2 linked regions of the Tribolium castaneum genome follow. The protein of the gene in region 1 purifies or fractionates together with the protein of each later gene. This does not show direct contact. Links are inferred from orthologs where the notes say so. Each region holds a gene or a part of one and is shown on either strand. Other genes may lie near its edges. The genes, in order: AP-2alpha and Nak.

What was found.
Region 2: the proteins of AP-2alpha (region 1) and Nak purify together in Drosophila melanogaster (affinity purification with western blotting; 3 studies listed by BioGRID, with this or other methods). This does not show direct contact. The link is inferred for Tribolium castaneum from reciprocal best matches to the Drosophila melanogaster genes AP-2alpha and Nak.

Annotation. Positions count from the first base shown.
Region 1 is NC_087403.1:6,346,199-6,350,466, forward strand, and holds the end of AP-2alpha (AP-2 complex subunit alpha), read left to right. Parts: intron 1-626; coding exon 627-780; intron 781-832; coding exon 833-1,189; intron 1,190-1,236; coding exon 1,237-1,369; intron 1,370-1,415; coding exon 1,416-2,071; intron 2,072-2,123; coding exon 2,124-2,537; intron 2,538-2,582; coding exon 2,583-2,790; intron 2,791-2,843; coding exon 2,844-2,921; 3' UTR 2,922-3,747; downstream 3,748-4,268. UniProt on the Drosophila melanogaster protein: Adaptins are components of the adapter complexes which link clathrin to receptors in coated vesicles. Clathrin-associated protein complexes are believed to interact with the cytoplasmic tails of membrane proteins, leading to their selection and concentration.
Region 2 is NC_087394.1:25,678,690-25,683,031, forward strand, and holds the start of Nak (serine/threonine-protein kinase sel-5), read left to right. Parts: upstream 1-1,432; 5' UTR 1,433-1,658; coding exon 1,659-1,785; intron 1,786-1,838; coding exon 1,839-1,957; intron 1,958-2,015; coding exon 2,016-2,261; intron 2,262-2,315; coding exon 2,316-2,519; intron 2,520-2,571; coding exon 2,572-2,704; intron 2,705-4,342. Other genes in the region: ecto-NOX disulfide-thiol exchanger 2, read right to left, coding at 745-1,083, 1,136-1,166.

The sequences.
Region 1 (4,268 bases):
GGGTTCTGTTTTTATAAACACACAACGGTGATATCGTCTTCAGGTGTTCGATAATAATGCAAATTTTGATGAATCTTCAGATTGAAAACGTAACTAATTAAAAAAAAAAATCGGGACTAAAACAGTACACAAACAATTTGTAGCCCACGTTGACGATGATATTTTGTAATTTTTTACGTTAGCGTTTTAAAATTTCGCCATTACACTACTTTTTTTTGGCGAACCACCCATTAAGAAACACTTACTCTAGCCAACCGATTTTGTAAAATGAGGTATGATATAATAGTTTTTGGAATCGTTTAGTTAAGAAGGACGCTTCACAAATCTTAAACTTAATTTTCGACGGAATATCTGTTTTTTTTTAGATTTATAGACAATTTAATGGATTAGATGACTTTAATTGCAATTTTGAAAAGAAAAACGTCTAAGTCAACAATTTTTATGTAAAAAAAATTCAGTACTTAAAGGGAAGAAATAAAATAAAAACACTGCTAAAACTAAATGTATATGGTTTGGCGTTTGTCATAATTTTCTTCTTAACAATTGTTAAGGGACCGTGGTTGAAACTTGATTCATTTTTTCACTTTTTTTTGTTACACTTGCTCCAAAGTTTTATGAATTCTTAGCTGAAGACCCGGGGGTGCGCGGCCGCTTGAACGAATGCCTAGAAACGATATTGAATAAAGCGCAGGAGCCTCCAAAATCGAAGAAAGTGCAACACTCAAATGCTAAAAATGCCGTACTGTTCGAGGCCATTAGTTTAATTATTCACAATGACAGGTATATTTATTTATTTTGAAATTTGAAAAGTCTCATTTTGTTATGTATACAGCGAAGCGAATTTGTTGGTGCGTGCTTGTAACCAGTTGGGCCAATTTTTGAGTAATAGAGAAACAAATTTACGTTATTTGGCTTTGGAGTCGATGTGTCATTTAGCAACGTCTGAATTTTCCCACGAGGCTGTTAAGAAACATCAGGAAGTTGTTATCTTGTCGATGAAGATGGAAAAAGATGTTTCAGTGAGGCAACAAGCCGTTGATTTGTTGTACGCTATGTGTGATAAGAGCAATGCTGAGGAAATCGTCCAAGAAATGTTGAATTATTTGGAAACGGCTGATTACTCAATTAGGGAAGAAATGGTCCTAAAAGTTGCGATTTTGGCCGAGAAATACGCCACGGATTACACTTGGTAAACCAAGCCTGATTTTCGTAACACTTTTTTACGTTTTTTGTCAGGTATGTTGATGTTATTTTAAATTTGATAAGAATCGCTGGCGATTATGTGTCGGAAGAGGTGTGGTATCGAGTGATCCAAATCGTTATCAACCGAGATGAAGTGCAAGGTTACGCCGCTAAAACTGTCTTTGAAGTAGGTCTCATTTGAGTCCATAATTCAGCTAACAATTTTTTTGAAGGCTTTGCAAGCACCCGCCTGTCACGAGAACATGGTCAAAGTCGGGGGTTACATCCTGGGAGAGTTTGGCAATTTAATCGCCGGGGATCAGAGATCCTCACCCTCAGTTCAATTCCAACTTCTCCACTCAAAATACCACTTATGTTCGCCGATGACTCGAGCTTTGTTACTCTCGACTTACATCAAATTCATCAATTTGTTCCCCGAAATACGGACTCAAGTACAGGAAGTTTTCAAACAGCACAGCAACCTGAGGTCGGCTGACGCCGAATTGCAACAACGAGCTTCGGAATATTTGCAATTGAGTATTATTGCAAGTTCGGACGTTTTGGCCACAGTATTGGAGGAAATGCCGGCGTTCCCCGAACGAGAGAGCTCGATTCTTGCTGTTTTGAAGAAGAAAAAACCAGGACGGGTCCCAGAAAATGAAATTAAGGAGAACAAAAGTCCCACACCTGTGACCAACCACAACAACGATGTAAATAACAGCAGTGCTGTCTCTGGCGATTTGTTGGGTCTGTCGACTCCGCCAACAGCGCAGCCCAACTCCGGAAACACCGGGGTGCTCCTGGACGTCCTTGGGGACATCTACGGGGGCAAACAGGCGAACAACTCGAACAGTGCCACTCAACCGGTCAACATGTACAACCCCAAGAAGTAAAAACGTTGTTTGCACCCGGTGGTAATTATTTGAATCGTGTTCTTTCAGGTTCGTGTGTAAAAACAACGGCGTTTTATTCGAAAGTGACTTGATCCAGATAGGCGTTAAAAGCGAGTTCCGCCAGAATTTGGGCCGACTTGGCTTGTTTTACGGAAATAAGACTAACGTTCCGTTGCAAAATTTCGTCCCGACCTTGTCTTGGCCCGACGATCAGGCTTCCAAGCTCACCATTCAGATGAAGCCTGTTGAGCCGGTCCTGGAAGCTGGTGCTCAAATCCAACAGATGATCAACGCGGAGTGTGTCGATGACTACACGGGCGCCCCCAGCATAGTGCTCAGTTTCCTGTATCTCAACGTGCCCCAGAAAATAACGATCAAACTTCCATTGACGATTAACAAGTTCTTTGAACCGACTGAAATGAACGGCGAATCCTTCTTCGCAAGGTGGAAAAACCTCGGAAGGTAATTTCCGGGACGCAGTGAGCAGGGTCTGATTGTTTGTTGCAGTACGAACCAGCAAAGATCTCAGAAGATATTTAGGGCGACACAGCAGATGGACTTGCAAGCCGCGCGAACAAAAATAATGGGATTCGGGATGCAACTCCTGGACGGGATTGATCCAAATCCGGATAATTTCGTCTGTGCTGGGATTATCCACATGCGGTCGCAGCAAGTCGGATGTCTTCTTCGTTTAGAGCCGAACAAGAGTGCACAAGTAAGTGGTTCCCGCGGCTTTGAATTTCGTAACTGTTTTCTTTTTTTTGGCAGATGTACAGACTGACGGTGCGCTCTAGTAAAGAAAGCGTCTCGATAGAAATTTGTGATCTTCTAGCGGATCAATTTTAATTAATTTAGAAAATTGTGTAAGTAAGAGTGCATTCCATAGTAGACTTACCTTATTGTTTAAAAATTAATATATTGAAATTTGCACAGACATGCGCTCTTTTTTCGTTTGAGATTCGCTTACAGTAAAATATTAGAAAGAGGATGTTCTTTGAGACAATATGTAAGTGTGTGACGTTAGTGTTGCTTGTTGACAGTTAATTTATAGAGATATGAATTTTTTGCTGAATTCATAACATTAGACCTCTATTCGGAAGAAAAGGGTCCATTGCGGAAAATTAAATGTACAATAAACGTTTTTTGTTGAGACAGATCTGCTGCACTCGAATTAAACCAAAAACTAAGGTGGGTCAAACGATCTTCTTGAATGTATATTAAAAATTCAATATGAAATAAAACTATATCATTAGAGACGTGTAACTTGTGTTATATTGTTATATCATACCAGAGGATGGTCGACGAGTTGGTAATGAATCGTTCTTCAGATGAGGAGTTTATTGAAACAGTTGACTTTCTACTGTCCTCAGATATATTTTTTACCATTTATTACAATAACTGATTACGTTGTGTAGTATGCCTTGAATTATTATTTGTATATGTTGATTGTATAAATAAGTAAAATATTGATTTAGTAATACAAACTCTTTGCAATTCCATTTTTGTATTCCTATTTTTTATATCATCTACAAAGTGCATGATACTTTATGTAAAAATAATATTGTGTAATATATGAATTCAAAGCTAAAGTTGTTGTAACATTATATGCGATTATTTAACATTTTTGTGTTTCTGTTGTATTGATGCTTCAATTACAAAAAATCACCGTCAACATTTTTCATTACTAACCCGACTAATTTTTCCATCCGAACTGATATTTAGGTAACGTCTTTACCTCAGTTCTTATACCACTATTTTACGCATGACTTCATGCCCATCATTCGGACATCAGCGGTTAAAAAATTTAAACAAAAGCGCTTCCTTCTCATTTCAACCCAAGGTAAGTAAAACATGAAGTCACCATTACGGGTTCACTTGCACCAATCCATTGATTGCACTTGATAATGGAAGTGTCGTAACATCCTGAATTTTTAAATGGTCGAAGGTTGGACCAATTTATTGTAATGCGGCTTTTTGCAAACAAGGACAATTTTATAAGTGACTGTTCCGGTCTATCTGTTGCCCATAAAATGCGTTCGATAACATAATGAGCGATTTTTTCGCTCGTAACGTAAATTCAACTGGAGGAAACTACTTTTATGCAAAGAAAAAACCAAAACGGTAAGTGCATAATAAATTTTTTTACCTGAATGACGGCGAACTACCGGTTCAGTGGCGGGTATAATAATAGTT
Region 2 (4,342 bases), on another chromosome or scaffold:
AAGAATAGGAGTCAAAGATATTCTTTGACTTCCCCTTCGCCTTTTTTATGAATGCGCATAATTTTTGAGACCTTTAATGACGATGGAAAACAATTCTCTAAAGCATCTATTTATAATTTCTGTTAGACGTTCTGTAGGAACTTTATTATGTTAACATTTATACCATATGGATCAAGTGAATTATTATTTTTAAATTCTTTTTTGGCATCTCTAAATGATTTAAAACATACATGCTGAAAGCTAGAGCTCCTATCTTCAACAGTTTAAGTAGAAATTAATTTCCAAATACTTAACTTCTGGGAAAATGGACCGAAATAGTCTCCTGAGCATCTTTAAATGTCCTTGGGACTTGAACTGTTGAAGATAGATATGGTCTCGCGGACATTTTTTAAAGAAAATTTAATTCTCTACAACTTTCTTAACAGTATTCGCAGCGTTTTGAAAAATGTGGGACAAAGCGCAATTTTACATTTGGAATAATTTGTTTCATATGTTTCTCATGAAGATTTTAGTCGGCAGTTTTTTGCAGCCTGTTAAGAGTGCAAAGCTTTGTATTTTTCCAAGTGATTAATGAATTGGTTGAATTTAAGTTAGTTTAAATCGATATTGGCGTCAAATAACGCTTGAAGCGCCCTCTTTTGTACTCTGGCGTACTATTTTTTTGGGCACAGAAAATCGTTCGTTTCCTAATCTATGGTCCTCTGTAGTTCAAAGTGTCTACAAATTGAATGAATAATTAATTACCCATCATGCCGCCCCACATGTTGGGCCCCAAACTGGACCCGTTTTGGATCGGGATAACATCCTGCGAGCTGGACATGTTCGAATCTGAATCATCGCGAGACTTATCGGTGTCCCTTCGATCCCTATCCCTTCGCTCAATGCGGCGTCTGTCCCTTTTGTCTGAAGGACTTAAACTTGAGTCGTCTTTGTCGTCCACTGAGCGTGCCACTGAAGTCTTATTCTTGTTCATGTTGAATTCCAAAGGAGAGTCGTTTAAACCGGGAGGAAAAATGGAAAAATCGCTGGCATCTGATGGAACGAACCCTGACTGACCTCCGGTGGGCACTATTGCCCCATTTCCTACAAAAAAGGACAAAAGGAATAACACAACGACAATTGCAACGGAATTTACCCAAAGGTTGGTTGTTGAATTGAAAACTCATGGTTACAGTGAGTTTCTAAGGAAAAATAGCAACAAAACAGTTCATTTTTTATCGACCTGCCAAACTTGCCGAGGATTGACGATTGAACTTCCCCGACTGTTCACAAGAACGAATTCGTTAAAAAAAATAGAAAACAATTAATTAGTAGAATTAGGGAGACACCAAAGAGCGTAGTTGGCAAAACTAATTCAGTTTTGGTCATTTTTGTGTTTGCTTATTGGAGTTTAGTATTTGATAAAATTTATTCGGTTGGGGGAACGTTCGGTTGGGGAGTCACATGTTAGTTGTCAATCTAACGTCAGACTTTCTTAAACGTCACTGACACTGTTATGCGGACAATTATTTTAATCAATTAATAAAAATAGTCGATTTGAAGCGGTAGCAAGTGTGAGGTGGGCTGTCGTAACGGTCTGGAGCCAGAAAATTGATGGGGAATCCGCATTCACTCACCAAACTCAATGTGTCATAATTTCCAATTAAGTGTCAATCACGATGAAAAAACTGTTTTCTAAAATCGAAACTAAAATAGATAACACTTCGAAGGAAGGTAACAGTTACATAGGAAAAGTGTTCACAGTCGGCCGCCAAACGGTAACCGTCGAGGATATTCTAGCCGAAGGTAGTAGCATGTTTCAATTCGGGGGGGCGTATAATCCCCATTGCTTGCTTTAGGTGGTTTTGCGATCGTGTATCTGGTAAAGGGCACCAATGGCACGCGCTACGCACTCAAACGAATGTACGTTAATAACGAGCAGGACCTTAACGTTGCCAAACGTGAAATTCAAATCGCTGTAAGTCACTTTAATTCATTCAAATTTTATTACTATTGAGGCACGTAACGGTTTTTAGAGCAGTTTAAGTGGCCATAAAAACATCATTGGTTATGTAGATTCCAGTTTGACGGCCACAGGAGGGGGCGTTTATGAAGTATTGTTGTTGATGCCTTATTGTCAGGAAAACGTTTTCGGTCTTATGAAACAACGTGGCAAAGCGAATTTTACGGAACATGAAGTTCTGACCATTTTCTGTGATACTTGCGAGGCCGTGTCACGATTGCATCACTGCAAAACTCCAATAATTCATCGTGATTTAAAGGTTTTTTGCACTTGATGGCAACACTCTAAATAACTCAGCTTTGGTTACTTGCAGGTAGAAAATATTTTGGTAGGTGAAAATGGTAACTACGTGATATGTGATTTTGGTTCGGCCACTGCGAAAGTATTAAACCCGGCTGATAAGGGGGTTGCTCCCGTTGAAGAAGAGATTAAACGGTACACAACACTGAGTTATAGGGCACCTGAGATGGTCGACATGTATTGTGGCAAACCAATCACGACGAAAGCTGATATTTGGGTAAAAAACACAACATTACAAAGTAATTTGTCTTTAATTTAATCAATTGCAGGCTCTTGGCTGTTTATTGTATAGATTATGCTTTTTTACGTTACCGTTTGGTGAAAGTACTTTAGCTATACAAAGTGGGAACTTTAGCATTCCAGATAATTCGAAATATTCGAAAGGTTTACATCAGCTAATGCGTAAGTTTATCAGTAGTAAATCTCCTCGAAGGACAGGGAACTTAATTAAGGGAACTTACTTAAATTTTGTCAGTCATTCCATTTTATCAGACGAGACACTACACATATTTTTAGATTTTATTTACTGTTTTTATGAACAGTATCAGTAGAAGTCAATTTAAACTGTTTGCAATCTACAATTAGAGCCACATTTGTAAAATTAGAAATAGGAGCAGAAATTAAAACAAATTGACGGACAGGACACAAAAAAGACTTTTTTATTGTTAAACAATCGTAAAATTTTGATAATTTAAAAGCACTAATTCTAACAATTATTTTTGAAGTAAGACTTTTTAAATTTTTAAAACCACGAAGTCGAAGAACAGAGCAATGTGTAACGACTTCTGATTAATTTACTTTTTGTTTACACATAACGGATGGGACAAAAAATCCACTATAATAAATCTTTTGGGTCATAAACATTCCTTCGTCTGCTCGGAAGCATGATGTTTTTTTTTTATAACATCAATTTTTTATTTTTTAATCGTGTAAATTATTAAATGTAAATAATTTACTCAAAATGTATTAATATTGTGTTACATAAATTAAATGAGTAATTATTTAATGTGTTAGCTTAAAAAGCTAAGCTAAGTAAAGTAAGGTTTTACTGTTCTAATTAAATAAAAATAATATATTTTTTTTAATATTTTGAACTCAACAACTAGTTATTTGTTTGTGTGTGTTACCCATTAAAACGGTCGATTTACTGGAGACGAACTAAACTTTCATTGAAACTGCACCAATTTGAATTTAGTTGTCATTTATTATGAATGGACTAATGTTAAATTAATCAGAAATTGAAATTTGATTGTAATTAAATATGTAAACGAATCATATGGGTTTTATTAGTTTTAGTTTGTCAATGTAAAATAAATTAAAGTAAATGAAGTGTGCAATCTCCCGACAGAACTTGTTTGAACGGAAACTAGGAAAAAAGAGTATTCTTAATTAAAAATTTAAATGAAAAGTTTTATCCAAACTCTTTGTGATAAAGAATGACAAAGAAAACTCCAATGATGGCGTTCACAATTAATTACGTTAGTGCTAATGCGTTTACAAAAAAAGACACCTTAGGAAGTTATAACAGTTTTAACGACGTTTATTCTTTTTATTCATTTATTTTGTTATAGTCACTTAATGATCAATTCACTTTTACAAATCATTACCTTCTTACTTTAAAATTAGCGCAGAATATTTTTTATAATGTAAGTATTAAATAATTAAAATTTTATTTTACCTTAAAAAAATGAAACATCAAATTATTCTTTACTCTCTTTACGCGATATAGTCATTTTTGATTAATTGAGGAGGTTTACAATTGCAATCAAATTTTTATTTCACTAATTTGACTTTTGTCAATGCAAAGTAAAAGATAACTTACTTTGATTTAATTTAACGACGTTTACGACCTAAAAGATTTATTGCTGTGGTTTGCACTCAGCCTCGTACTACCCGGGCCGGTTTATAGGGGTCACATTCTTTATGATCGTGACTGTACATCAGTTGTCAAGAATTTATTATATTATATACCTTATAGCCTACAAGGCAATGTATGTAAATATTACTTCAATTTAAATGGCTATTCTCTCCAATTTTAAA